Bombyx mori: one gene and its partners. The protein of the gene in region 2 interacts with the protein of the main gene of each other region in a pairwise test. Links are inferred from orthologs where the notes say so. Each region holds a gene or a part of one and is shown on either strand. Other genes may lie near its edges. The genes, in order: insulin gene enhancer protein ISL-1, Ubx, catenin delta-2, nuclear cap-binding protein subunit 1, mothers against decapentaplegic homolog 3, protein hairy and zinc finger protein Noc.

Evidence for each region.
Region 1: the proteins of Ubx (region 2) and insulin gene enhancer protein ISL-1 interact in a protein complementation assay, tested with the Drosophila melanogaster proteins (2 studies listed by BioGRID). The link is inferred for Bombyx mori from reciprocal best matches to the Drosophila melanogaster genes Ubx and tup.
Region 3: the proteins of Ubx (region 2) and catenin delta-2 interact in a two-hybrid assay, tested with the Drosophila melanogaster proteins (2 studies listed by BioGRID). The link is inferred for Bombyx mori from reciprocal best matches to the Drosophila melanogaster genes Ubx and p120ctn.
Region 4: the proteins of Ubx (region 2) and nuclear cap-binding protein subunit 1 interact in binary tests that used the Drosophila melanogaster proteins (3 or more experiments, as listed by UniProt). The link is inferred for Bombyx mori from reciprocal best matches to the Drosophila melanogaster genes Ubx and Cbp80.
Region 5: the proteins of Ubx (region 2) and mothers against decapentaplegic homolog 3 interact in a two-hybrid assay, tested with the Drosophila melanogaster proteins (2 studies listed by BioGRID, with this or other methods). The link is inferred for Bombyx mori from reciprocal best matches to the Drosophila melanogaster genes Ubx and Smox.
Region 6: the proteins of Ubx (region 2) and protein hairy interact in binary tests that used the Drosophila melanogaster proteins (3 or more experiments, as listed by UniProt). The link is inferred for Bombyx mori from reciprocal best matches to the Drosophila melanogaster genes Ubx and hry.
Region 7: the proteins of Ubx (region 2) and zinc finger protein Noc interact in a two-hybrid assay, tested with the Drosophila melanogaster proteins (2 studies listed by BioGRID, with this or other methods). The link is inferred for Bombyx mori from reciprocal best matches to the Drosophila melanogaster genes Ubx and noc.

What each region holds. Positions count from the first base shown.
Region 1 is NC_085134.1:9,911,425-9,914,924, forward strand, and holds part of insulin gene enhancer protein ISL-1, read left to right. Parts: intron 1-2,559; coding exon 2,560-2,749; intron 2,750-3,500.
Region 2 is NC_085112.1:6,103,982-6,108,239, reverse strand, and holds the start of Ubx (ultrabithorax), read left to right. Parts: upstream 1-1,458; coding exon 1,459-1,921; intron 1,922-4,258. UniProt on the Drosophila melanogaster protein: Sequence-specific transcription factor which is part of a developmental regulatory system that provides cells with specific positional identities on the anterior-posterior axis. Binds the consensus region 5'-TTAAT[GT][GA]-3'.
Region 3 is NC_085133.1:5,044,076-5,047,575, reverse strand, and holds part of catenin delta-2, read left to right. Parts: intron 1-487; coding exon 488-647; intron 648-2,943; coding exon 2,944-3,133; intron 3,134-3,500.
Region 4 is NC_085127.1:11,172,431-11,174,849, reverse strand, and holds part of nuclear cap-binding protein subunit 1, read right to left. Parts: intron 2,289-2,419; coding exon 2,176-2,288; intron 1,155-2,175; coding exon 966-1,154; intron 156-965; coding exon 42-155; 3' UTR 1-41. UniProt on the Drosophila melanogaster protein: Component of the cap-binding complex (CBC), which binds cotranscriptionally to the 5'-cap of pre-mRNAs and is involved in various processes such as pre-mRNA splicing and RNA-mediated gene silencing (RNAi).
Region 5 is NC_085108.1:6,272,186-6,276,266, forward strand, and holds the start of mothers against decapentaplegic homolog 3, read right to left. Parts: upstream 2,801-4,081; 5' UTR 2,669-2,800; coding exon 2,466-2,668; intron 1-2,465. Other genes in the region: zinc finger protein 62 homolog, read left to right, coding at 3,996-4,081.
Region 6 is NC_085114.1:6,571,149-6,574,375, reverse strand, and holds the end of protein hairy, read left to right. Parts: intron 1-625; coding exon 626-903; 3' UTR 904-2,727; downstream 2,728-3,227. UniProt on the Drosophila melanogaster protein: Pair-rule protein that regulates embryonic segmentation and adult bristle patterning. Transcriptional repressor of genes that require a bHLH protein for their transcription (e.g. ftz).
Region 7 is NC_085115.1:2,640,785-2,644,730, reverse strand, and holds the start of zinc finger protein Noc, read right to left. Parts: upstream 2,801-3,946; 5' UTR 82-2,800; coding exon 1-81. UniProt on the Drosophila melanogaster protein: May negatively regulate Notch-induced cell proliferation in the eye-head primordium. Required for development of the supraesophageal ganglion and ocelli.

The DNA of each region.
Region 1 (3,500 bases), on a different chromosome or scaffold from region 2:
CTATGTAAATTCGAAAGTCGGTCAAATAAATAACTGGTACAAAAAAAAATAGCATAACAATAATTTTCAACTATTTTCATTGCCCGTAATATATTTTTCAAGCGTAAAAGAGACGTAACGAGTGAAAGAGGCCACCGTATTTCCGTGAGCACCAGACTGGGCGGGACCTCGACCACGCCTACAGACGATATCGATTGAGCCCGATCCGACAACATTAATTTATTCATAATTCATGTTTCGTGATGTGACTCAGCACGTTTCGCGACGGCTGTATCACTGAAGTTCTCGTAAATGATTTTTGAAAAAAAAAAAACAAAAAGATACTTATGTTTATATTAACGGTTCTGCAAGATTGATTGCTTCTCACCTGGACCAATCTAATTTAGCTCCAGCAAAAATTAGCATTATCCACTTGCCTATATCTGCCGTGAAACCTTTTTGTCAAATGTCCAATGACTAGATAATAGAAGTCGTCGTGGCCTAACGGATAAGACGTCCGGTGCATTCGTGTTGAGCGATGCAACGGTGTTCGAATCCCAGGCGAGTACCAATTTTTCTAATGAAATACGTACGTTATTACTGGTGGTAGGACCTCTTGTGAGTCCGCACGGGTAGGTACCACCACCCTGCCTATTTCTGCCGTGAAGCAGTAATGCGTTTCGGTTTGAAGGGTGGGGCAGCCGTTGTAACTATAATTGAGACCTTAGAACTTATATCTCAAGGTGGGTGGCGCATTTACGTTATGGATGTCTATGGGCTACAGTAACCACTTACACCAGGAGGGCTGTGAGCTCGTCCACCATCTAAGCAATAAAAAAAAGCTACTGTGATGATACCTCATGTTTTAAAATCACATTTTTTAAATGGTCAAATGTCACACAATCACCAGTCAAATGGGCTGAGCTAGGATAACATGTACCTTCCAACAAGTACTACGGATGAATTTAGGAAGGAAATATTCAGTAATAGGTCGCAGCCCCTAATAAATCTATGTAAATAAAACTGAATGTTTTTCTCTCCTATATGTTTCTAAGCCATTAGATTGTTATAAAGATTAGTTGGCGATTGTTTGGCAGTCTCTGTTATAGTATATTTAATGTACGACAGGTGGCGTGTGTGTAGTTTCAGCAAACATGGCTGAGCTTTACCAGTTTAAAATCAAAAAGCCCTCAACGCTACGGCCTCAAGTTTTGTAATGTTAGCCACTCCCTTCCCACCCTTCCTTCCCTTCCCACGTCACCCGGGTAGTGGAAGCTCGCTACACCTCAATGTAATTCAATGAAACTTGAAGAGCACTTCTAATTTTGCGTAATAACCAATGTTGGTATATTTTAAACTCGTAAGGGTATGATCGTGCTGCCTATGACTGCCGAAAACTTACCCATATATGAGGCCATCAGCGCAAAAGTGGCCTAGCCCACAATATTTTTTTATATTCAAGCTTATATTATGACGTATATTCGAATTTATTTAAAATATCAAAATTTTTTATACAAATCCGACTTATCCATAGTTTCACCCATAGATAGCAGATAGCTTTGTAAACATTATTTTTGGGCGTATTGTTTTTTTGCTTACTCAAATTCAAATTCATGAAAATTCAAACCTAATTGCCTCCATACTAACTATGGTAAGCTTAGGTCACTTTTGCGCTGACGATCTCATATATGTTTATAGTTATATTATATATAATATATGTGTAATATAATGATATGGAATACTTTAGAATTATTAAACAATAAAAGGCTTAATTGGGTTGTCTGTGATATAATAAGAAAACAACATTTAAAGCCCTTAATCACTTTTAAAAATAATGTAAAACATTAAACAGTATTATTAAACTATAGAAAACTAAATTTTGTTTTCACTGAATGACAGACAGATGAGTGATTCCGTCTATGAAAAATCTTTTTTAAAACTAAAGAGTTTTAAAGGTTTTAAACGATAAAGGTTTTTCTTTACATATGTAAATAATTCTGGTTTTAAAGACGGAAATAGAACTCCGACTTCATGTCTCATAGTTTTGATATTTAGCTTCTGATATCTTTAGCTCGTAGCTGACACGTCATTTCGGATCCTCCCGATATCCACTAACGGTGCTTTTAGGTACCTCAAGCACCGGTTACCGTCCTCGCCGAACCTGTCGCTAACGACGAAGGGCTCGACGAGTAAATTAACCCATAGAGCCACTGAGTTTCTCGCCGGATCTTTTCAGTGGGTCGCGTTTCCGATCCGGTGGTAGATTCTACGAAACACTGCTTTTATTAGGGTTAGTGTTAGCAACGTCGTCAGGTTTGAGCCCCATGAGCTCTCTTACATGTTAAGGTTACGGAGAAATGGTCTCTCAAGACCATCATCAGCTTAGGTAGAAAAAAATATATAAATAATATTTAGCTCGTCCACTCATCGCATGTGTTACCTTCTCTATCTAGATTTAGATAGATCGTTCCTCTCCCTCTACACGGGAACTGGCTTTGTCTTCTACTTCCCATGAAGAATCATACCACTTTACTTGGATTGAAGGTCACGCAAACCACTAATCGAGGTTTTCGTCTACAGAAAAGCTCCGGCTCTCGTTGTGCGTCGGCTGCGGAGGTCAGATCCACGACCAGTACATCCTCCGGGTGGCCCCTGACTTGGAGTGGCACGCGGCCTGCCTAAAGTGTCAGGAATGCCGGCAGTTCCTCGACGAATCCTGCACGTGCTTCGTTAGAGACGGAAAGACTTATTGCAAAAGAGATTATACTAGGTAAGTGACTTATTAAGCTGTTAGGTCAATTTCCGTCAGAATACAGAATACCAATTGCGATTTATCACCGGATTAATCACGTTCGACAAAAAGCTTTGATTAATAAAAATACTAGATATATTACCTAGTTACTACATAGTTGTCTACTCTTAGCCGCTAACTCTGAAAGGAGTCTGTACACTATCGCCAAAGTTAAAATTAAATTTTATATTAATATACTACTACATGACAATAACATTATTATGATATTATGATTATTTTAAATTATGTATAGTATTGTAAATGTAAATGCTTAGGATAAACCAACCCTTCTTACACTAGCAATGATCGACAATTTTTTCAGTAGTAGGTATTTTGATAGTTCCTACATTCAAATACGTGGTCCGACAATGAAACAGACTTCTTAAGCCTCGGAAAATTGAACCCTGTTTATATTTTAGAAAGAATAATGAAAGTTTAAATTACAAAATACTTACGATGATCTACAACGAACAAACAGTTTTATCACCTAAACTATTCTAGCTTCACTTAATTTTTATTACTCTAGATTTTAATGGAGGTACGCACTTAAACATTCCAAAAATAACTCTTACAATGTCTATAAAACATTAACTAATAAACGATCGAAATCTATTTAAGTAGATCGTGTTTAAAACAAAATTACTAATAGAACTATTTTAGAACTTACAAGCTAAAACATTCATTGCACGAAACGAAATAAAAAAAAAATCATAACCGAATGTCAATCAAA
Region 2 (4,258 bases):
TGAAATAAGGTAAGTTTTAAAAAATCATAAAAAATTTAAGTATATTTAATTCATGAAACGTAAACCACCATTATCTATTAATTAAAATAAAAGTGTTAAACTTGTCATTTTACATATATCATTTTTAATAAATAAATAAAAAAACGTCTCAATACCCGGATCTAAAGGAAATATTTACATACGAAGGCGCAATAAAAATGCGTTCAATTCTTAAGGGTAGGGCGCACCATTCATTCGTTTGACGACTTCATTTGGTCGCGCGAAGTGAACTCGCGATAATGCGCTATTGTTTACCCTCCGATAGTGCGTTGTCCACTGCATGCGCTACACAGCGCGAGACCAAGACCGCTATACACTAATCAGCCCCGCTCGGATGATAACCGTTCCGCGCTCGACGCGCTGTCCCTTTCGCTCTCGAACGGGCGCCTTAAGCAAGAGAGCAATAGAAACATCACTCGTAAAAACAGGTAGTAGAAGAAATAATAATCATCTTTACGACTTCTCACTCTATTCAGCACCTTGTTACGATACTGAACGCTCATTGTGGCACGGTCGACGAGTGGCTGTAAAATCTTTTCTTTACTCGCCCGTTTCACTAATTGTACGTTTATGAGTTTACGACTTTTGCGGCTTAACTTTTTCGTTCTATTCATTTTTGAGGCTTTTGTTGAGGCTCTTCAAAAGTTTTGTTACGCGGTCGTCCGAAGATACATAAATTGTTAAAAGAAAACATATAGTTTATAATAGGATTTGATGTTATTGAGTTCTCTCTTAAGTCATATAAATGTCAGTTATTAACCTAGGTATTCTGAAGTAGAGCAGCTAAAGTTCTAGTTTGTTTGACGAACGTTCGCCACGTGCTCGAGTGGGTGTGATAAGGAAAGGAAAAGAGAGCGTAACTGATAATATTTATAGTGATTAGCGAAAAGGGGACGGAACAATAGTCGTTGGGCTGCGATGGTAGCAGTGAGCGCGGGGCGGCGCGCGTGTCTCAGCCGCGCTCAGTACATTGCGTGAGCCGCGTCGCGCCGGTCGCACACGACACACAGCCGCGCGCTCCCGCCACACGCGACGGAAAACTTCGCTCGCGACACAAGCCTCCGGCCCATACACCACCACGATCACTTCTGATTTCATACAGTGGAGACGCGCTCTCGGCTGACGTCCTGAGACGAGCCGGCGCCGCAGACGAAACCGCTTAAAAAGTCGTAAAACCCGCGGCACGCGCTCCCGAGTCGTAAAATAATCGTAAAAAGTAAACACACGTCAACTGGCCTTTATCGCCGACGAAGCCCATTATGACGCTTTAGTGACGTTTAAGAGGCAATAAAATTAATAAAAATAAATTACGTTGTCCGTATTTGGTGTGACATTGGCGGAGGTCGCGTTATCACGGCGCGCGGGGCCGCGATGACATAAGTGTTCCCTGAGTGACGTTAGTGCCTGTGACTGGTCACGATGAACTCTTACTTCGAGCAGGGTGGTTTTTACGGGGCCCATGGAGTGCACCAGGGCGGCGGTGGTGGAGACCAGTACCGCGGCTTCCCTCTGGGCCTCACGTATGCACAGCCACACGCTTTGCACCAGCCTCGTCCTCAGGATTCACCGTACGACGCGTCTGTCGCGGCGGCCTGCAAGCTCTATGCTGGAGAGCAGCAATATCCTAAAGCAGATTGTTCAAAGCCAGGCGGTGAGCAGCAGAATGGCTATGGTGGGAAAGAAGCCTGGGGCTCAGGTCTGGGAGCACTAGTGAGGCCGGCAGCATGCACTCCTGAAGCTCGATACAGTGAGTCGTCAAGTCCTGGTAGAGCGCTTCCGTGGGGCAACCAGTGTGCACTTCCGGGATCAGCAGCATCAGCCGCGCAGCCAGTGCACCAGCAGCCTACTAACCACACTTTCTACCCTTGGATGGCCATAGCAGGTTAGTAAGTTAAAAAAAATTATCTCGATCACAACTCTATATAAATTGAATATGCAATTTCGAAAAGGGCACACCTCTGAAAATGTAAAATGTTCAGGAAATGAAAAAAAACTGATTATTTTCTAAAGCAGTGTAAAATTTAAAATATTAACTTTTGAAATATATTTTAAGTGTTAATTAGCAATTGAAAATTACGGGAATTATTATAAAATGGGTGTAGGTAAGCCTCAAAACTACATGTATATGAAAAAACGTATTTGACAAAATATGCGACATGTGCCCTTTTCGAAATTGCATATTCGATTGAAGTGTATTATTGCGATCGTAGGTGCAGTTTTTTTTTTGATAAAATTAATTGCCGAAGTCTCTACCTATTAATATTGTATATTACATATTTGTTTACAAATATCACTGAAATTTATGATTCTATATTTAAAAATATATTGCGTTTCCCATAAAAAACTCGTCAACATTTAATATACATAAGTGGAAATGAGAGGCGTAACAAAAATATGTCACGTCCGATACCCCGTAAAAATCACTAAAATGCTGCCATCCTGTTTGGCACACATAATCGGGCCACTTCAGAATCGTCCATTAATGTTTCCTAAGAGTCCAATACTAACCGGCAGGTAGCCGACAAATCAAGTGTCAATAAAAAGCACATAAAACGAACGACCCTCGTTAACACCTTATTAGTGAGACAGATTTGAGTACCATTAATAATTTTATTGCGGACAAAACTCAGGATCCTCCAAATTACTAATTTGTAACGATAAATTGATATCAGTGATTTGATCATAAAATCTTTGGTGTAGACTTCCTGAATGTTGATGGTTCGTAGCAACGGAACTGGTATATAAATTATAGAGCTATGGAACTGGATTATTTGAAATAAAGTTCTCGTGTCTTAAAATTTTTTTTGGAACAAAACTAACAAGGTTTGTGAATTAAAATACGATTTAATCTTGGACTGGACTATACGGAGATTTAGCAGAACATATTATACCTACTTTTTTTACCGGACGACAAAACACTAAAATATTTCGAGAGAATGTAAAATAAAGAGACAAATATGTTGTCGATATTTACTTGTGTTCTCTTTTCTGACCCATAACAATTTAAATTAATTTTATAAATACATTAATAAAGCTAAGAAATAAAATAAAATAAAAGTTATTTATTATTAAAAGTTGTATATTTATTTTATTACTATCTAAAAATAAATAAAACGTTTAACAATCCTTCAATACTTAACACATACTTTAAGATGAAATTTTTCAGGTTCAAAATTGATTGTGTAGGCATAAAGTAAAGCAAAAAGCGCTATTTTAGTGGCCCAACGAGGCAGGAGAGGTGCGCCCGCGCCGCCCGCCCGGGTCAATGGCCCGGTCTAGTTTTGGGCGCATTATTATTAACTTACTGCCACTGACCATTCGACAAATGACCATCCCATTAAGAGCGCTTCAATCTTCAAACATACGTTTCGGTAAACATTCAATTCATGCACTTAAAAGATAAAATAACGCTTTAAAAATGTTTTACAAAATATCTAATACGGCATATTAGTTGGTATAGATTAGAATTTAAGTCTTATAAGAATCGATTCTCTCTCATTCGTAGTAGTTTTTCTGGAAAAGAAGTCCTATTCGAATTTCGATTGAATCGATTAGTTCACCTGGGCCGGCGACGAGTAATTAATGCTACGCGTGTGGTCCCGCCTCGTCATAATTCATGCGACTTGATAAAAATTAAGTAACAGGGCCTAAAAAATAACAAAATAAAATGAGAAGTCGAACCGTCGGCTATAATTCACTGTGGGTTCACGCAACACAGGCCGCGAAACAATACAAGGACGCTTGTTGGACGTGGCATGTATGAAAAGTTCGGGCTTGTCCATGAACGGTCCCTGCTGTTCATTTGGACAGTTTGCTAATTTGTAATACCTGTAAAGTAAACCTTTTTTGGTATAAATACCTAAAACATAGGTAATTTGGTATAAATTCCTATAAATATAGAAAGAAAAAAAAATTGTGGAGCTGTAAATGTAACTAATTTAGTGAAGCAAACGATAAATACGGTATAAGTTGAAGCTCGAAATTGCAATCACATGCTCCCGATCTTACTGCTATATAATTGAGGACTTAAATTACAGGGCCGTGGACTTCTTTTTTTTAAATTTGTTACAAGCGGTTTTTAAATGGAACAAAATAAAAACAAGAAAAATTATTTGGTGGAATAATTTTCATTTTCAATCATACGACAATTATTATGACCCTTCAAACAGCGACTTGAATCTTTCTCTTCTTACTTGGTGCACATTCGTTCTGTAGAGGC
Region 3 (3,500 bases), on a different chromosome or scaffold from region 2:
TTGAACATTGTTAAGGTTCTATTGTCAAAGACTATAATTTTAATTCTATAGTCTGACTAATTTTATAATCACAAATTTCGGCAAGTCTACACTATGGACAAATAATATTAAAGATAAACAATATTCTCATTTTGACCACAGACTTTAAACACTAACAAATTTTTTACAATAAACAAAAGAGTATATATGCGTGTTTATGTCAAATACATGGTAGTGTGTGTAATGCTTTTTTTATTCATTTAACGTATTTTTTATGCATAATAATGCTTCTTTCTCTATATTATCTATGAGCGTGGGAAATGTTATATTCCTTAGTCCGCGCAATTTAAAAAGGGGTACAAAGTTTTTGCTTCAGGTATTATCTAATATAATCTATATGATTATGTTTTGAAAAAAAAAAAAACATAGAGTGGTTGTTAAAAAAATAAACCATAAAAACCACATTCCGATTTATATAATAAATGTATAAATTTTTGTTTTGATACAGGTTAAGGAATTAGTTACCGGTGTTATATGGAATATGTCATCGTGCGAGGACCTCAAGCAGTCGATAATCGATGACGCGGCTCAGGTCATTGTGAACAAAGTTATCATACCGCATTCTGGCTGGCATCCCACCAACCCTGGAGATACTTATTGGTCTACCGGTAAGTTTTGTGCTTTTTTTTTTTTTATATCGCTATATCAGCCGAAAGAGTAGGTGAACTCATGGTGCTCAAACCTGGCCAAGTTGCTAACACTGACTCTAGCAAGAGCAGAATCTACCACCGGATCGGAAACGCGACCCACTGAGAAGATACGGCGAGAAACTCAGTGGGCTCTGTCTGTGGGTTAGTGTACTCGCCAAGCCCTTCGTCACACGCGACGGGTTCGACAATAGCTAATATAAATCTTTAGATTTACCGTTTTGGGCGAGTGTAAAAACAAATGTTTGTATTCGAAAAATTCTCCACGTATTTTGCTGTGCTCCATTTCTGTGCCTTTCAGATTTTAACCTCATGTCACACACACGTAGGGAAGCGACATAGTTCATAAAAACATCGCTCTTATAGATCGATATAACATTTATTTTCATAACGAATATATATTTTTTTTTTATTGCCCTTGTAGGCAGACGAGCATACGGCCCACCTGATGGTGAGTGGTTACCGTCGCCCATGGACTTCAGCAATGCCAGGGGCAGAGACAAGCCGCTGCCTACAATACAATTAAAAATACAACTAGGATAACTCAGTACCCGGTTTTAATAACAACGATTTATCGCTGGCATCTCGAGTTGTAAGGAGCGTCGTTCACACTATAATGTTACTTTTGATTACTCGACATACCTTTACCGTACCTCGAGTTATGAGGACGAAGCCTCAGTCGGATCTTGTAACGATTCCCAAAGAGGTCTCTCTACTTATATTCATAGTAACTTAGCCAACCGTAAAGTTTTGAAATTGGTAGGTTGTTTGTTTCAATAAGCTATATAGGTCTGAGGTATCAGTTCATTTTTGAAAAGGGGTCACTTGCCTCAAATGTTCCGAAGCCGGTTCCAACCGAAACCCTCAACAACATCCGTGCATAAATTACGATATCTGTTTGAAGTATTATATTAATTGCGTTTGTAAGCAGATGAGCATATGGCCAACCTAATGGTAAGTGGATACCGTCGCTCATGGACGTCAGCAATGCCATTGGCAGAGTCAAGCCACTGCATACCATTAAGTACTCTCCACAAGCCTCGTTTGAAAAAGAACATGTCTCAGCCCTCGGGAAAACACCGTGGAAGGGAGTTCATTCCAAAGCCGGAAGGTACGTGGCAGAAAAGATCTTTGGAAAGTCACTGTCAATGAACGTAGCGTTTCAAAATAATATGGATGAACTCTGCTCCGCGGGAGGTGCGATGAAAAAAAAAGAGATGAGGGGAACGTCTAGAGAAATTCCTCAGAGCATTCTTTGTACTTTAGCCAAATATGTGTGAGAGTAAGGTTAAGTTCATATGACGGTACGTAGTTCCGCGCGGTACAAGATCAATCTAAACAGTGCTTAATGTTCACATAATTTTCTTGTACTTGTCAGTTCTACAAAACGGTATCGACAGCTTTCAACGCAATCATATAAAAAAAAACAAAAGATGCAACTAACATCTTAAAGTAGTTACAAAAAATTCTTCGTGTAGTCTCCAGGTCGGGATATAAAGTTACAAAAGAAAAGTTTTTCATTTAAAATAGGATTGCCCCCAGTATCGTCTTTGTCTTCTTCTCCGACGTCTCAGTTTTCTGTATAAAATCCATAAGCAAATTGCCCCTTTTCCACGTCCATTCTCCAATGTTGACGCCAGACTGTCGCGCGTACATATTCTGTCATGTGAATGCTTCCACCGCGCGATCATATGAACTATTACTGGTGGTAGGACCTCTTGTGAGTCCGCGCGGGTGGGTACCACCGCCCTGCCTATTCCTGCCGTGAAGCAGTAATGCGTTTCGGTGAAGGGTGGGGCAGCCGTTGTAACGAAACTTGAGACCTTAGAATATCTCAATGTGGGTGGCGCATTTACGTTGTGGATGTCTATGGGCTCCAGTAATCACTTAAAACCTGGCTGTGAGCTTGTTCAACCATCAAAGCAATAAATAAAAAAATCTAGAATGAAATTTAGCAAATATAAAAACAAATTTTATCATATGGATACACTGGATTGGTGTAAATATGCAAATAAGATTTTTGGTACTGTAACTAACTTTTTAATGTAAACTACTAAAAAAAAAATGTGTACATTCAACATTAATCCATAGAGGTCCTGTGCTAGACACAGATCTACCCCAGGTTGCGCCACAATTACGGAACCTGCGCAAATTAAGCAATAAAAAAAAATCGGTTGTCTGTAAAGTCGGCTCCGTCGAATTATAAGACGTTGTCACGTCAAAAAAAAACGTAGCCTAAGCGAGTGCGTGTTGTTAGTATTCCGCAACGCGTCGGGCGCGCTGCGCAACGCGTCGAGTGCGGGCGAGTACGCGCGGCGCCGCCTGCGCTGCCTGGCGGGGCTGGCGGAGGCGTTACTGCACGCGGTGCGCACGGCGCTGCACGTCAACGCGATCGGCACCAAGGTCGTCGAGAACTGCGTCTGCGTGCTACGGAACCTCTCCTATAGGTACGGGCGGCTTATTTCTGTACCTGTGTTTCCGATGTACAGGAGAAAACAATGTGTCATCCATTCCCGATCCTGCGGAAAGAATGGAAAGCAGTTGACGTCGCCCCAAACACGTTATTTCGGATCCTCCCGATCCACTAACGGCGCTTTTAGGTACCTCAAGCACAGGTCATCGTTCTCGTCGAACCCGTCGCTTGCGACGAAGGGCTCGACGAGTAAATTAACCCTCAGACACAGCCCACTGTGTTTCTCGCCGAATCTTCTCAGTGGGTCGCGTTTCCGATCCGGTGGTAGATTCTGCGAAGCACGACTTGCTAGGGTTCGTGCTAGCAACGTCGTCAGGTTTGAGCCCCGTGAGCTCACCTAC
Region 4 (2,419 bases), on a different chromosome or scaffold from region 2:
GCAGTCTTTAACGTTGTGTGTTGTTCGTCTCGCGGCGACGCTCACGCGGTCAGCGCCACGAACTGGTGGAACACGTCCAGTATGTGAGGGTCCAGGTCCTGCGTGAACAGCAGCGTCTCCAGCGTGCTGCTGTACTTCTGGACTTGCTCGTGGTGCTGGAACAGACGGAATACTTTGTGTATAGGCTACACGAATCACAAAAACTATTGTTACGCCGGTAAGAGTAACGCCATCTATCAACGAATAGCAGAAACGAATGTGGCGAACAGATGCCCGAATCTCGCTTACGACATTTTCAAGATAAGCTTGTATATATACAAGTTCCGAACAACAACATTTGGACCATCGGTCTACCGAACAAATATCATCCGCTCGGTGGAAGATCTTCCTTTCGTCGTAATCCCCCAAACGAATATCGAAGGACCTAGTAAAAATCGAGAAGTACAACGCCATCTATTGTCAGAGAGCGGAAACACATCGAAGCTACTTGACTTGTCCAGAATGTTCTCGATAATTCTAGGGATATCGTATCGAGTATAAAAACGTTGCAGAGATAGCACGAGGTCAAGTCAGTAATCGGATCTACTCGAAGCGAAACAGCGAACGGATCACCTGAAGCGAAGCGGTAGAAGCGGATTGCGAGAATTTTAAAGTGTTCTGTGAGCGTTTTAAGTTAAATACAGTTTTAATTTATAATTCGGTAGAATTTTATTTATTCCGAACCCCAACGCGTATACTATGTTATTAGTGATTAGTAGTCCTGAAGGTTTTAAAAAAAAATTAAATTGAAGAATTTTATTCGAGCCCTACGCCCTACTAGAAGGTAAGAAAGAAGAAGACGGCGGATAAAACACCTGAAGGGCGGTTGAGCAGCATGAGGGAGTTTGGAGACAGTGGTAGGAGATGACACAGGAGCACCTCGGTCAGGTACTACTGGTGGGGCGAAGGGTGTGTTGTATACTCACGATGAGGAAGACCTGCGTGAGGCGGTGCAGCGTGGCGCGGTACCAGTGCGTGTGAGGGTCCCGTGCGTCTGTATCACAGCGGACGAGATGCTCCGAGAGGATCATGATGAACCGCTGGAACACGATCAGGAAGAGCCGCTTCTGGTCCATATGTGCAGCTTCCAGGCGCTCCTCCATACGCTCGACCGCCTGGAATACAAACATTTGGTACAATGCGTTGGTTATATATACCTCTTGACTTTTTGGCGAGAACGACTCATCAGGTTTGAGCCCCGTGAGCTCACCTACTAGTTAAGGCGACGCTGATATAGCCTCTCAAGGCTATCAGCTTAGGTAGGAAAAAAAATCGGTTGTCTGTAAAGTCGGTTTACTGACGATAGTTGAACGTGACAACGTCAAGAAAATACTGATGGAATGGTTTCATTTTTCAAAAGAACATTTTAATTTTATTTGTTTGATAGATATTTTGTATGGATATAGAGAAGGAGGTAAATGGAAATCACTATTGAATTGATCAAGTTACATTTATTTGTACGCATAAATACAATTATGTAATTTTTTTTTTCAATGTACATAGTTTTTTTACAAGTATGAATGGAATGTGCTGTGAATTGTATTATTGTATAGCAGCTGTCCACGCGGATGCATCGCTCACTCAAGTAGGAGAAAGACAAATGTCGAACGCTGCCGAACGCGGAGGCCGATTGTGCCTCTTTGTCGCTCGTTGCGCGCTCTCGCTTGCACTTCAAGTCTTAAATGGAACGCCTCAGAGCGAGGTAACGCCGCATGAGTCATGTTTTTTCGTGCGTACAGCCGGCTCCATCGAATTAAAAGACGTAGTCACGTCAAAAAAAAAGGCGAGAACGCGAGTACTGAAGTTGTGTGATTTATTTTATTTTGTCTATTTAGTGTTTCTTCAGGTTTATATGAGTAATAACGGTGGTTTATTAACTGTTTAATATCTGTGAATGTGCAAAAATGTGGGAAAATGAAACAAAGCCGCTGAACGTAACTTCTCAGGATCCTTCAAAAGGTCCACTGAAAAAGTCTCAAAATGACCACCATTTTACTGAGATTATATTTCATCCCATATCATCTCATTTCACTCCTTATTTTCAATATTCATAAAAATAAGAATATAAATTAAAATAAGATATGACTTAAAGGTCTTAGTTACTAGGTCATAATATCCCAAAAAGAAAAGTTATACCTCTTCAGTAGGCTTGTCCTGGTCTTTCTTCTTCTTACTGTTCTCATCTTCAGAATCCGAACTGCTCGAGTCCGCTCTCGCTAATGCTTCGCGGGCTTCCTGGAGTTCTGCACCTGTTAAACAAATTGGATGTTGTAATTTTTTTTTTGCTTCACGGCAGAAATAGGCAGGATGGTGGTACCTACCCGTGCGGACCAGTAATTACGCAAATTATAATTTTGCGGGTATGATTTTTATTACACGA
Region 5 (4,081 bases), on a different chromosome or scaffold from region 2:
TAAGGCAAGGATGTATATTTATATTTAAATTTATATTTATTGTATTTATATGCTAATTTAATAGACATGTATTGTAGAGTAAATCTTTTCCTATTTATTAATCAGCCATTGCATCTATCTATAATCTATACTAATATATAAATCTACAGTGGCTTTTAGGGATGTTCCGTTATAATTACTGAACCGTGCATCCAATTGACTTGAAACTTCGTATATGTAGAAAATACCTGTACTTGATGGATAGGATAATATTTATTTGAGTGTTGGACTCCCTAATGTCAATCGTAATTCGTTTCCAAATGAATCTTGTCCACCTAATGGTTGTCTGGAAGAGATCGCTCTTAGCAATAAGACCGCCAATTGTACTTTTTTGTATTTAATGTATCGCAGTGTTTATTTGTTTTTTGCTGTACAAGAAAGAATACTCTCCCTTTCTTTCTCTCAATTTTAAATGCCCAGCGAAGCCGGCGAGTACGGCTAGTTATATATATATTTCTGTTAGACGCCATTAAACGGTACACAACTTCATCATTAAGTCCTTTAATGTATGTTAATGTGCATGATTTAATACATAAAAAAACAGACATATGAATGCACAGCTTACAAACAAACAAACAACATTTTCTTTTCAAGTACCGTAGAAAGGAAAATTTGATTACCATCCACTTGGTGGCTTTCCAAAAACAGTCCAAACAGTGTAGTACAAATATCCAATTTATGAAATACTTGCTTCCAAGCAAGCGAGAGCATATGGCACAACTGACTTACATAAACATTATCAAACAATATGTTGAAATTGGAATCATATTAGTTTTAGAATAATGGTCATAACATGCTTGCTAATTTGTTGCGGCAGTTCTTTTCAGGACTGTGGTTCTTCTTGTAACCAGTAAACCAGCTAGAGTTTATTTTGACTTTCAGTAAGAATGTTCCCTGACATGAATTAGAGAAGCTCATAATTATACATAAAAGGAAAGCGCCCTGTGGGCAGAACACCAGCTAGATGTTCAGATCTTGTTAATAAATTGGCTAGTGGTAGTCTATACCATGTGGTCCATGCCACCCATGACCAAGGAAGAGGAGGAAAGTCACATTTGGTCACAATCCTCAGCAGTGAGGGAATTTTGCATAGAGAAACCACAAAATAGTAATTACTTACATAGGAGATTCGCAAACATTTGGGGGATACAGACAGACATGAACAAATTATAAATGCTACATTTTTATTACTGTGCTGCGGAATCATTAACATGGAATTTTTTTGTTCAGTTTCCAATGGTAGCTTAGAGCTATACGCACGATTACTCATAATTGTTGACAGTAAAAAAAGATAGACCATGAGCCCAATAACCTATTGAAATAATTAAATCCAATAAGTTAGTTAGGCAATTAATTCACAGTGGTGTATTTATTGTTTAAATGGCATTGGATAACAATGACTTATGAATATGTATTTTATTATCTTGTAATCAATTTCCTTGATTGTTTAGGAAATAGGTGCCACTTTGCATATTATTATTTCCAAAAAAAATACTTCTAAAGACTTTAATTTCTAATTCTAACTTCTTGGTCTTGGAAACCAATATACACTGCGAAATTCCAGTGCAATGACATCTCAAGTCAAATACATGTGATAGTCAATGGCTTTTTTTGCTTTTCAATTTTTACAATGTAGTTAAATTGTAACAATGACGAGTAGATTCCTATTCTAATTCAAATTAAATGAAAAACTGGTGTATGATACGTATTTATTGCCGAAAGCCGTATTTTTTGCATAAATTAACGAACAACAAGAACTCTTACCTTGTTTAATTATGACAATTTTTTTCGTATAACCACTTCACTTTGTTACTCAAAATCACTCGCGAAATTTTGCGAAACACGTCCGGTTTCTTATGACAAACAATAGAACGATTAATGCCTTTGTATTTTTTTTAAAGGACAGGAAATGAAAAATTCGCTACATCAAAATACGGCAGCCATATTGACAAAAGATTCGATTGTTTTGACGGTGTCTTGACCTTTTCGATTTTGCGTCCTGTACTTTGTTATCCTACTAAAAGCGAGATGACGCCATTTTCGCGAAACATGCTTTTAATAATTATAATCGGATTTGGTCGGATTATACGACGAATATATTCAACTTCGAATTTCCGAACGTGAATTTCAATGCCGGAAAAAATCAGCTGATTTTTAGCTTGCGAATAAATTTGTTTCAAGTTAGATTTTTGAGAATTTTTGCAATTTTGCATTATATAAATTTCTTAAAACTAGACTACTTCCTCACCTTTAAATTTAAATTACTGCGTTTATCGGCATCAAAGTTGCGAGCAGTTCAAACAAAGGAGACTAGATCTTATTTCAGGAAGTTAAAAATCTCAATGTTCAAGACTCCCAAGACATTTGGCCGGAAATGTCATCGTACTAGAACAATTGTACAATAAACAGAATTTACTACGACTCACCTGGGTATCGTAACGCATTTCGTATGACTGTTCTGACTCGAGATTGCCCTTTCTAACTCTTCTAAAGCCCCGCTTTTCTTTAATTTTTTTACCAAACTCTTTACGGCCTTCTCGGACCATTTATCTTCTGCGGCCGACGATCCCTCGGGTCCTTTTTTCCAGCCCAACAATCGCTTCACGACCGGCGGAGTTAACGGGAACATACCGTACACTTTGTTAGCTATGTCATTAAGTTCAGAAAAGTAGTATTCGACAAAAAATATCTTTATTGTCGCACAATGTTATTATATAGGTTCCATATTTAGATGCAATCGGCCATTTTGACGATTTTTGACATTGACACATGAAAGGCAGTCATAGATGTATTGACAAATTTTTCTGTCAATTTACAAGTTCAAAAACCTTTTGCTTGCTGAATCGATTTAAGAATCGTCTAAAGAGTGAATGCTTTACTGCATAATGAGAATTTCTAATATTATCTGTTGAATTCTTGAAATGTCGTAGATTTCAAAAAAATGGAGGAAGTTTTAAATTTCAATTGTTTTTCGTTGTCATTGTGCCAGTTATTCGCGAAGAAACGTTTTATATTGAAGAAATAAATAAAACTGGTTAGTTTTTTTTTCCTTTTTCAGTAAACTCATTTGTAGTTAACTCATATTATATTTTTGGTTTTGATCTACATTACGGAAATAAATTTCTCGACTGTTTTCCTTGCCATTGACACTGGCTGTTGCAAAATTTTAATTCTTTTATAGTCAGCCATTTATTTGTAGTTAAGGAAAGTATCGGAAACAGTCATAAATTTCAAATAGTTAAATTACCAATTATTTTGACAAACAATAATAATGATTCATTATTAACCTATTTATTGACTTTCATTATTTGTAGGCGGGATTGTGTGTTTTATTCAAAATTACAACTAACAATCTATACATTCTTTAGTATGTAAGATATAGTTCTATGATCAAAATTTTACATAGCACAGAGAAAAGCGTACTTTGTATAAATAAATTATCATTTGCAACGTTTCGCACTCGTGGCCATGACTGCTTCAAATGTAAGAGTTCAATGACCTCGAAAACGCAAAACTTTTTAAATTTACTAGTTATAATGGTGCTTAAGGATTGCATGTAGATACACCGCCTAACATAAATAAATATATTGAAATTTAATTTAATTGGCCTTTACTGGTGGAATAGCAAACGATTTAAGCATAGACGTCGCCAATCCCAGCAAAAATGTTAAAATGGACGTAACAGCAGTCTAAATTCGAATGTGCTATGGAAATTGGATATTTTTGCGGTACGTGCTGTCACGTATCTCCTAATAGTGCGAATGTATCAGTAGCGCGCATTGTACCGGTCAGTATTTTCAGCTAAAAAAAATATAATGACGTGATCTGTTGTTGACACGTTAAACATTTTCAAGAATAATGAGTATAAAGAATCCGTGATATATTAATTTGTACTGAATGAGTAGACGAGATCACGAGCCCGCTGATGTTAATTGTTCACTGTAGCTCGTAGAGATATGAGGTCGAGCCTCAATTTATTGCAGAAATACCTCCTCCTACCTTTTAAATTGCGGCAGAAGTATTATGTTGGTATCGGTACGGT
Region 6 (3,227 bases), on a different chromosome or scaffold from region 2:
AAATTTTACACCTTCACTTTAAAATAGTAGTTAAACGTATCCAAGTTCAAAGCTTTTCATGCACCCAGTAATGGTACATAATAATTTCAGATTCCGCGAGTCGTAGACGTAATTAAAACAATTTTTACGGTTTTAATCTCACATTTTTTTCTGTCATACATTTTTGACGTTTTGACTTTTTTATTATTATTATTGCTTAGTTGGGTGGACGAGCTCACAGCCTACCTTGTGTTAAATGGTTACTGGAGCCCATAGACATCTACAACGTAAATGCGCCACTCACCATGAGATATAAGTTCTAAGGTCTCAAGTATAGTTTACAACGGCTGCCCCACCCTTCAAACCGAAAAGCATTACTGCTTCACGGCAGAAATAGGCAGGGTGGTGGTACCTACCCGCGCGGACTCACAAGAGGGTATTACCACCATTTTTTGCCATTTAAAAGTAGTTTTAGCCAAAGTAGTTTTAATTACACTTGCTAATAGATATTGCGGTCCTTCCTTAATGTCTTTGTATCATTGAATAATAAAACAAACCGCTACGTCACAATAAACTAAGTGTCTCTCTGTACACATTGTATGCAAATCATAATTCTAGTTATTAACAGTTAATATTTTCCCGGCAGCGGGTCCCGGTTCCGGTGTGCGTTTGCTGCCAACACGTCTCTCTAACGGCGATATAGCTTTAGTGTTGCCCGCGGGTGTGACGACTAGCGCTATAGGGGGGCTACCCAACTTAGTGCCGCTGTCACCAAGAGATGCATCGTCTTCAACATCAGAACAGAGATGCTACTCGCCCGAGAGTTCTGGTTGGGGAACACCCCCTCCTTCCTCGGAGGATGCAGCACCTTTAGCATTAGTCACGAGAAAGCAGCCAGAAGAAAAACCCTGGAGGCCGTGGTGACACCCCTATCGTTCCAAGTTTCTTTCTGTGATATTGTACGTAAGTTTTCTGTCAAGTTGATGGAGTTGAAGTTCCTATGTGCCCACAATTGGCATTATTATGAGTCTGTGCGGTCAGTTTGTGTGATAATTAGTGTTTAGAGATAATTGAAATTTTGTATTTAAAAGAAAATTCTAAGTGTCATATTTTATTTTCCTTCGTGAGACGTCTATGTTAAGGATTGAAATAAATCACTTTTACATTTCCGTTGCACTTCGTAAATAATGTAGATATGTAAAATGTAGTGTGTAGGTAGCTTTCGATAAATTTTATTTTATTTTAACAAAGAGCATGTTCATATGGATGATTAAATCGACGCGAATTGTAAACAATTACAATGAGGAATAGCAATTTCAATGCTGAAAAATAATTACAAATACATTATGAATATCAAGTTACATAAAAGATTTAAACGTCCATAGTGAATTTCATATCACTAGTTTTATAAGATGTATATTTGTTGATGACATCTGTGGCAGTATTTTACTAATGGACTTGTTGTCCTTTAAGGATCTATAACTTCGTAAATCTAGAAGATAGTGCCATAAAATCGTTTGTAAATATTTATAGCGTAGCGATAGTCCCTTTTATGTTTTATCTGTGACCATTAAGGCTCATTTACGCTGGTTGTTAAAACGATGTCGCCTGGAGCACCTTTCAAGACGACCAACACGGAATAAATGGCAGTTCGTTAAAAAGATTGAAGCCGTTTTTAACTGTCGAGATAATGAATTCAAAGCAGGCATGATGAGAATTAATTTCAAGTGCCTTAAACAGCAAAATCACTTAGTCTTCCATGAATAGGTTAAGTTATACACTAGCTGTACGTGTAAATGTAGACTTAACATAGGCAGTAAACTTTTTATCAAAATAACGTTGTTATTAATTAAATAAGACGTAAAATAATACAGATCATTTATTTAATTCGCTTGTTGTTCGTAAACTTGATTCATTTAAATGCGATTTAGAAAATATACTCTATCTTCTCTTCTCTTCATACATAAATATTTCACAAAAAAAGTCGCGTATTCGTTATATTCTCAATTTGGAAAATTATTTGTAAGTAATTTAATTGAATGACTAATTACGAAAATTTTAAAACACTGTGGATTAGTTCCATTAATATATTATAGATGTAAACTCACCTTGATTTTTAGATAGCTTTTTTTAATGCTCAATTTTAACCATCATAATTAAGCTTCGTTACCGCCAATACTAAGACACGTGTCTTCCTTTATTTCATAGTTACCGTTAACGGACAGTGAATTGTTGAAAAAATTATATTATTATAGTTTAATTTACCACGTAAAGATATATTTAACATTTGCAAATTTAGTAGTAGGTCAACCGTGATAGGAAAGACATGTATGATGTGCAATCTCAAATCGAAAATATTATAAACTATTTTGAATTTAAACCGAATTTTGATGAAGATTATGTATGTATTAAGAGTTTATGGCAGTTAAATTACATATAGTTTTCATAAATTTTAACTAATTGTAATCGAGAAATTGAATCTTCATCAAATTGCCCTACTTATGTCGAGAGAAACAATTAATCCTAATGGCATTAATTCTCATAGTATTGTAAAGTCACAAATTTATTTAAGGTATAATATTAGTTTATTTTATAAGAGAGAATGCCGTCTAACATTTAATTTATCATACATTTTAAATTTACGAAGTGATATTATTTAAATGTAAATAAAGTAATCATAATGTATGTTATGATAGCTCTTAAAAGATATGTCATCATTTTAAAAATAAACAATATCTAAATGATCAAGGTTGTAGTTTTATTTATTTTAGAAGCCAGTCGAGGATTCTACACGTAGATAAATAATCAATGAATTATTAAAATAGCGTCTTGTTAGATTAAGATTAGCCTAACCCTGGATGGATGGATAGGAGCTGAGCCGACGACGAGGTGCCACCATTGTGGATACGACCTGCACACAGTGGAGCATACGCAAGCTATCTGCCCCGCTTGGGAGGTGCAGCGTCGTGTCCTGGTCGCAAAGTTAGGACCGGACTTGTAGCTGCCTGGCATCGTGGCATTGATGCTTGGCGGCGACGAGCCCTGGAGGTCTATGCGCGACTTCTGCGAGTGTACCATGTCGCGGAAGGAGGCGACGGGACGAGTGAGGCAAAGCTCTCTTCACTTCGCAGAAACCCGCTGCCGCCGAGCAGGGGGTTAGGACTAGGGTCCCATCCGTGACCCGGCCCTTAAGAGTTTCGGGCTCCACCCGCTTTGTGCGGGGACCCAGGCGTTTGCCGCGTGATAGG
Region 7 (3,946 bases), on a different chromosome or scaffold from region 2:
CGGAAGCGGTGCTAAATAATCTGGTTGTAAGTACTGGTTGGGATTTGTAGCCATCATTCCACCGTCTTCAAGCACCACCATTTGGAGATAACTTTTACTATCACTTTTGAACTTCACGATACAATCACGTAAGGGAGTTTAATTTAGTGTACACTTTGCAAACGGAGCGCAGACTGAGCAAGTAAGACACATGTGCACGCGGCGACGTTCGAAGCGACTGTGAGCGACTGGACCCCACCAAAGCTCGACTCGCCTCCGTACCCCGCGCCCTCGTCGCGACAGATAGAGACAGCAATACGCCGAACCTCCGCCAGACAGAGAGCGCTATGTCTCACCGCTGCAGCGCGCGATCGTAAAAAATAAAGCGGAAACGACACATAGCTGCATTGCGGTAGGGGAAAAAGGAAAGGCGGTATGTTCAGCAGTCGGGTGCGGATTGAGACGTGCGATGGCGTTGGTGGCTCGCCACCCATGACGGGCAGCGCTTTGAGTCGCCGCTGCGAGCGTGACTGCCGCTCTACCTGGCCGAGAGTCGCGTACCACGCTGCTTTTTGTTACGTGGCACTTTTATTACGTCCCCGACGACTCGCAGCGTCTCTCTTTGAGCTCCGTAGCACTTTGCTGACACGTTCGATACTACTTACGTTTTTACGAGCTTTCTTTGTTCCGAGATGCACCCGGCGTCGGTTCAAAGGGGCCAAATTGATCCGTTCCCGGGAAAACGTGTTTCCGTGAAACCGTTTGATGTGTCAACAAGTCCGTTAGACGTTTACGTTGAAACTCGTTAAGCTATCGATAAACATTTGTTTGACGATATTTCACTTTATCGACAGCGTTAAGTCCATAACGTTAATGTTAATCCGACACTAAAACCTGTCAAACACGGGTTCGGTCCGTCGGACCCTCCGTAGCGATCAAATTAAATATGTCAATTTGGGAACCCATATCAACAGCTGCGAGCGACGGCGGCGGGGCCCTTTAGAAATATTGCTTATTGTGTCCAAACAAAGATACTAAGTATAACGTATGGGCGGACGACAGAGGTTGTAAATAACCCGGCGGGTTGTAATATATTTGACAGTGCGCGGACACACGAAACAAAAAACATGTTTATTGCGAGATGGGGTCTGGTTCGGCCCCGGCGGCGGCCCGGCTCTCTTCTATAAATTAGCTCCGCGAGCATTTTAGTGTTTGTTTAAGGCTACGGAGGCGCCGATGGCCCTCGCCCGTACTGAATAACGTGTTTCGTGCTATTGGAATATAAAACAACGTATTACGTTACGATTCGTCTCAAAATTACAAAAGCTTTAACTGAAACATGCGATTTTAAAAACAAATCTCTTGTCTTGATAAATTCTGTTGATGCTCGCTGAGCCGTAATTGCAAACTCAATCGCGATAACACGGTTCATTAAATCGTATTGTATGTTTTCAAGGAGAATTTAACGCGTCGTCAATTTTAACAGACTTCTACACGATTTTCTAATTCTCTCATAGGGCCTAACTAATTTACAAATAAACTGTGGACCTTATTGTAGATTGTATCCGAAAATATTGAAGCTTTAATTCTGTCCTGCTGATTCATTTTTTGTTTGATAAATCGAGCATCACTCATGTTTTGTGCTGGCATAGATTCTTAGCAACTTAACCTACCTTAAGCAACTACTACTACTCTTGACCGCAAATAGAGAAGTAGTTATTTAAATCAGTATAGAACAAAATGAATCTTCACTAACTTACCACTTTTACAAATGAGATTTCGACCTCATTACTCAAGGTGGGTGGCGGCATTTAAGTTGAGTTTGTCAATGGGCTATGTTAACCACTTATTGGCAGGAGGGCCGTTAGCTCGTTCACCCAAAAATGCACAAAATTTGAAAAGATGCCTTTAAATTTGACTTCAGCAAGAGAAAAAGCCTTATTACGATATATCATGTTAATGGTGATCCTGGATGATAATGGAGCTAGCTTTGGCCGTGTGGCTTATGTAGTCCGGGATCTATTCCCAGTAGTTGTGCCAGTCTCAGTTTCATAAACCAGGACCTAACACTAGTTTGGACCCGTCGTAAGTTTAGCTTCCAAAAGGTATAAACCTTTTAAAATTTAGGAAGCGAAGCCTATTTCTCTGTTCGCAGATAAGCCATGCAAGGACCCCTCAGGTTCGCTAAGATAACGCGTTATTGTTTGAAGCGGATGCGGCGAGATCAAAGCGCTCGCACAAAGCGTTGCCGCCGATACCAAATTACTGTTTACAAACGCTGTAAAAAGCTTGACGGGGCCCATGCCTTGCTTTGATCTGCTCTGTTACGGTTACGTTAATGACTCATCGATAGTTTGAAGGGTAGAATAGTTGGGCTTAGATAGACTTGGCGCCTTCGAAGGGATTCATAATTCGTATATTTTAGATTCAGTAAACGGATTTCCAGTCATAGCTTGTTGAAATATGACCACATATTGAATATATTTAATACTTCCAATGAGAAACAGTCAACTTTTTTTCTCCTACCTATGCTGATAGCCTTGAGAGGCTATTTCAGCTTCTCCTTGACGTGTAGGTGAGCTCACGGGGCTCAACCTGGAGTGTTGTTAACACTAGCCCTAGCAAGAGCAGTGGTTCGCAGAATCGACCACCGGATCGGAAACGCGACCCACTGAGAAGATCCGACGAGAAACTCAGTAGGCTAACAGTCAGTGTTCAGTTCAAATAGTACGACAGCCCTTATAAAATACAATTGGCATTGAATAAAAGGAATATGATTTAAATGTTTTAATACAATTGACATTGAATAAAAGGAATTTGATTTAAATGTATTTTTTTTAATAGACCAATTGAAGAAAATAATTTCAAATATGTTTTAAATATCTACTTTATTTATTATTTATTATTTATTAATTAATTGAAATAGTTATCCCTTTTTAAGGACGACATAATTAGTAGCATAAAGAAAGTTAAGCTATTACCTCAATAAAATTAATCTGCGACATTGTACTCACTCCTTTCATTTTTTCATCCATTTTTGTTAGTCATGATTATCTACGCTTTGAGTTAAAATTATAAAAGTATTTTGAGGGTATGAATAATATCATTACAAAAATGTTTTTTTAAGGGATTTTATTACCTGATAACTTAGACCTTTATTTGGGTCATGCCTTATTTTAATTTATATTCTTATTTTACTAAAAAATGATAATTTGGAGTGAAATGAAATAAAATGAACTGAAATGAAATGAAGATGATTAAGTTGAAACATTAATCAATTGGGATGAAATTAAATGAAATGAGATGATATGGGATGAAATATAATCTCAGTAAAATGGTGGTCATTTACTACGATTTTTTCAGTGAACTTTTTGGGAGGATCCCGAGAAGTTACGTCCAGCGGCTTTTTTCTCGTTTGCCCACATTTGTGCACTTTCACAGATATTAAACAGTTAATAAACCATGGTTATTACACATTTAAACCTGAAGAAACACTAAATAGACAAAATAAAACAATTCACACAACTTCACTCCTCGCGTTCCCGCCAAAAAGTCCTTACTAAAATATATATATTTTTTTAAGAGATTTTATGACCTGGTAACTAAGACCTTTAAGTTATGTCTTATTTTACTTTATATTCTTAATTTTATGAAAAATTATAATATGGAGTGAAATGAAATGAAGATGATTAATTTGAGACATTAATCAACTGGGATGAAATTTAATGAAATGAAATGATATGGGATGAAATATAATCGCAGTAAAATGGTGGTCATTTACTGAGATTTTTTCAGTGGACTTTTTGGAGGAACCCGAGAAGTTACGTCCAGCAGCTTTGTTTCATTTTCCCACATTTGTGCACTTTCACAGATATTAAACAGTTAATAAACCACCATTATTACACAATTAAACCTGAAGAAACACTAAATAGACAAAATAAAACAAATCACACAACTTCACTCCTCG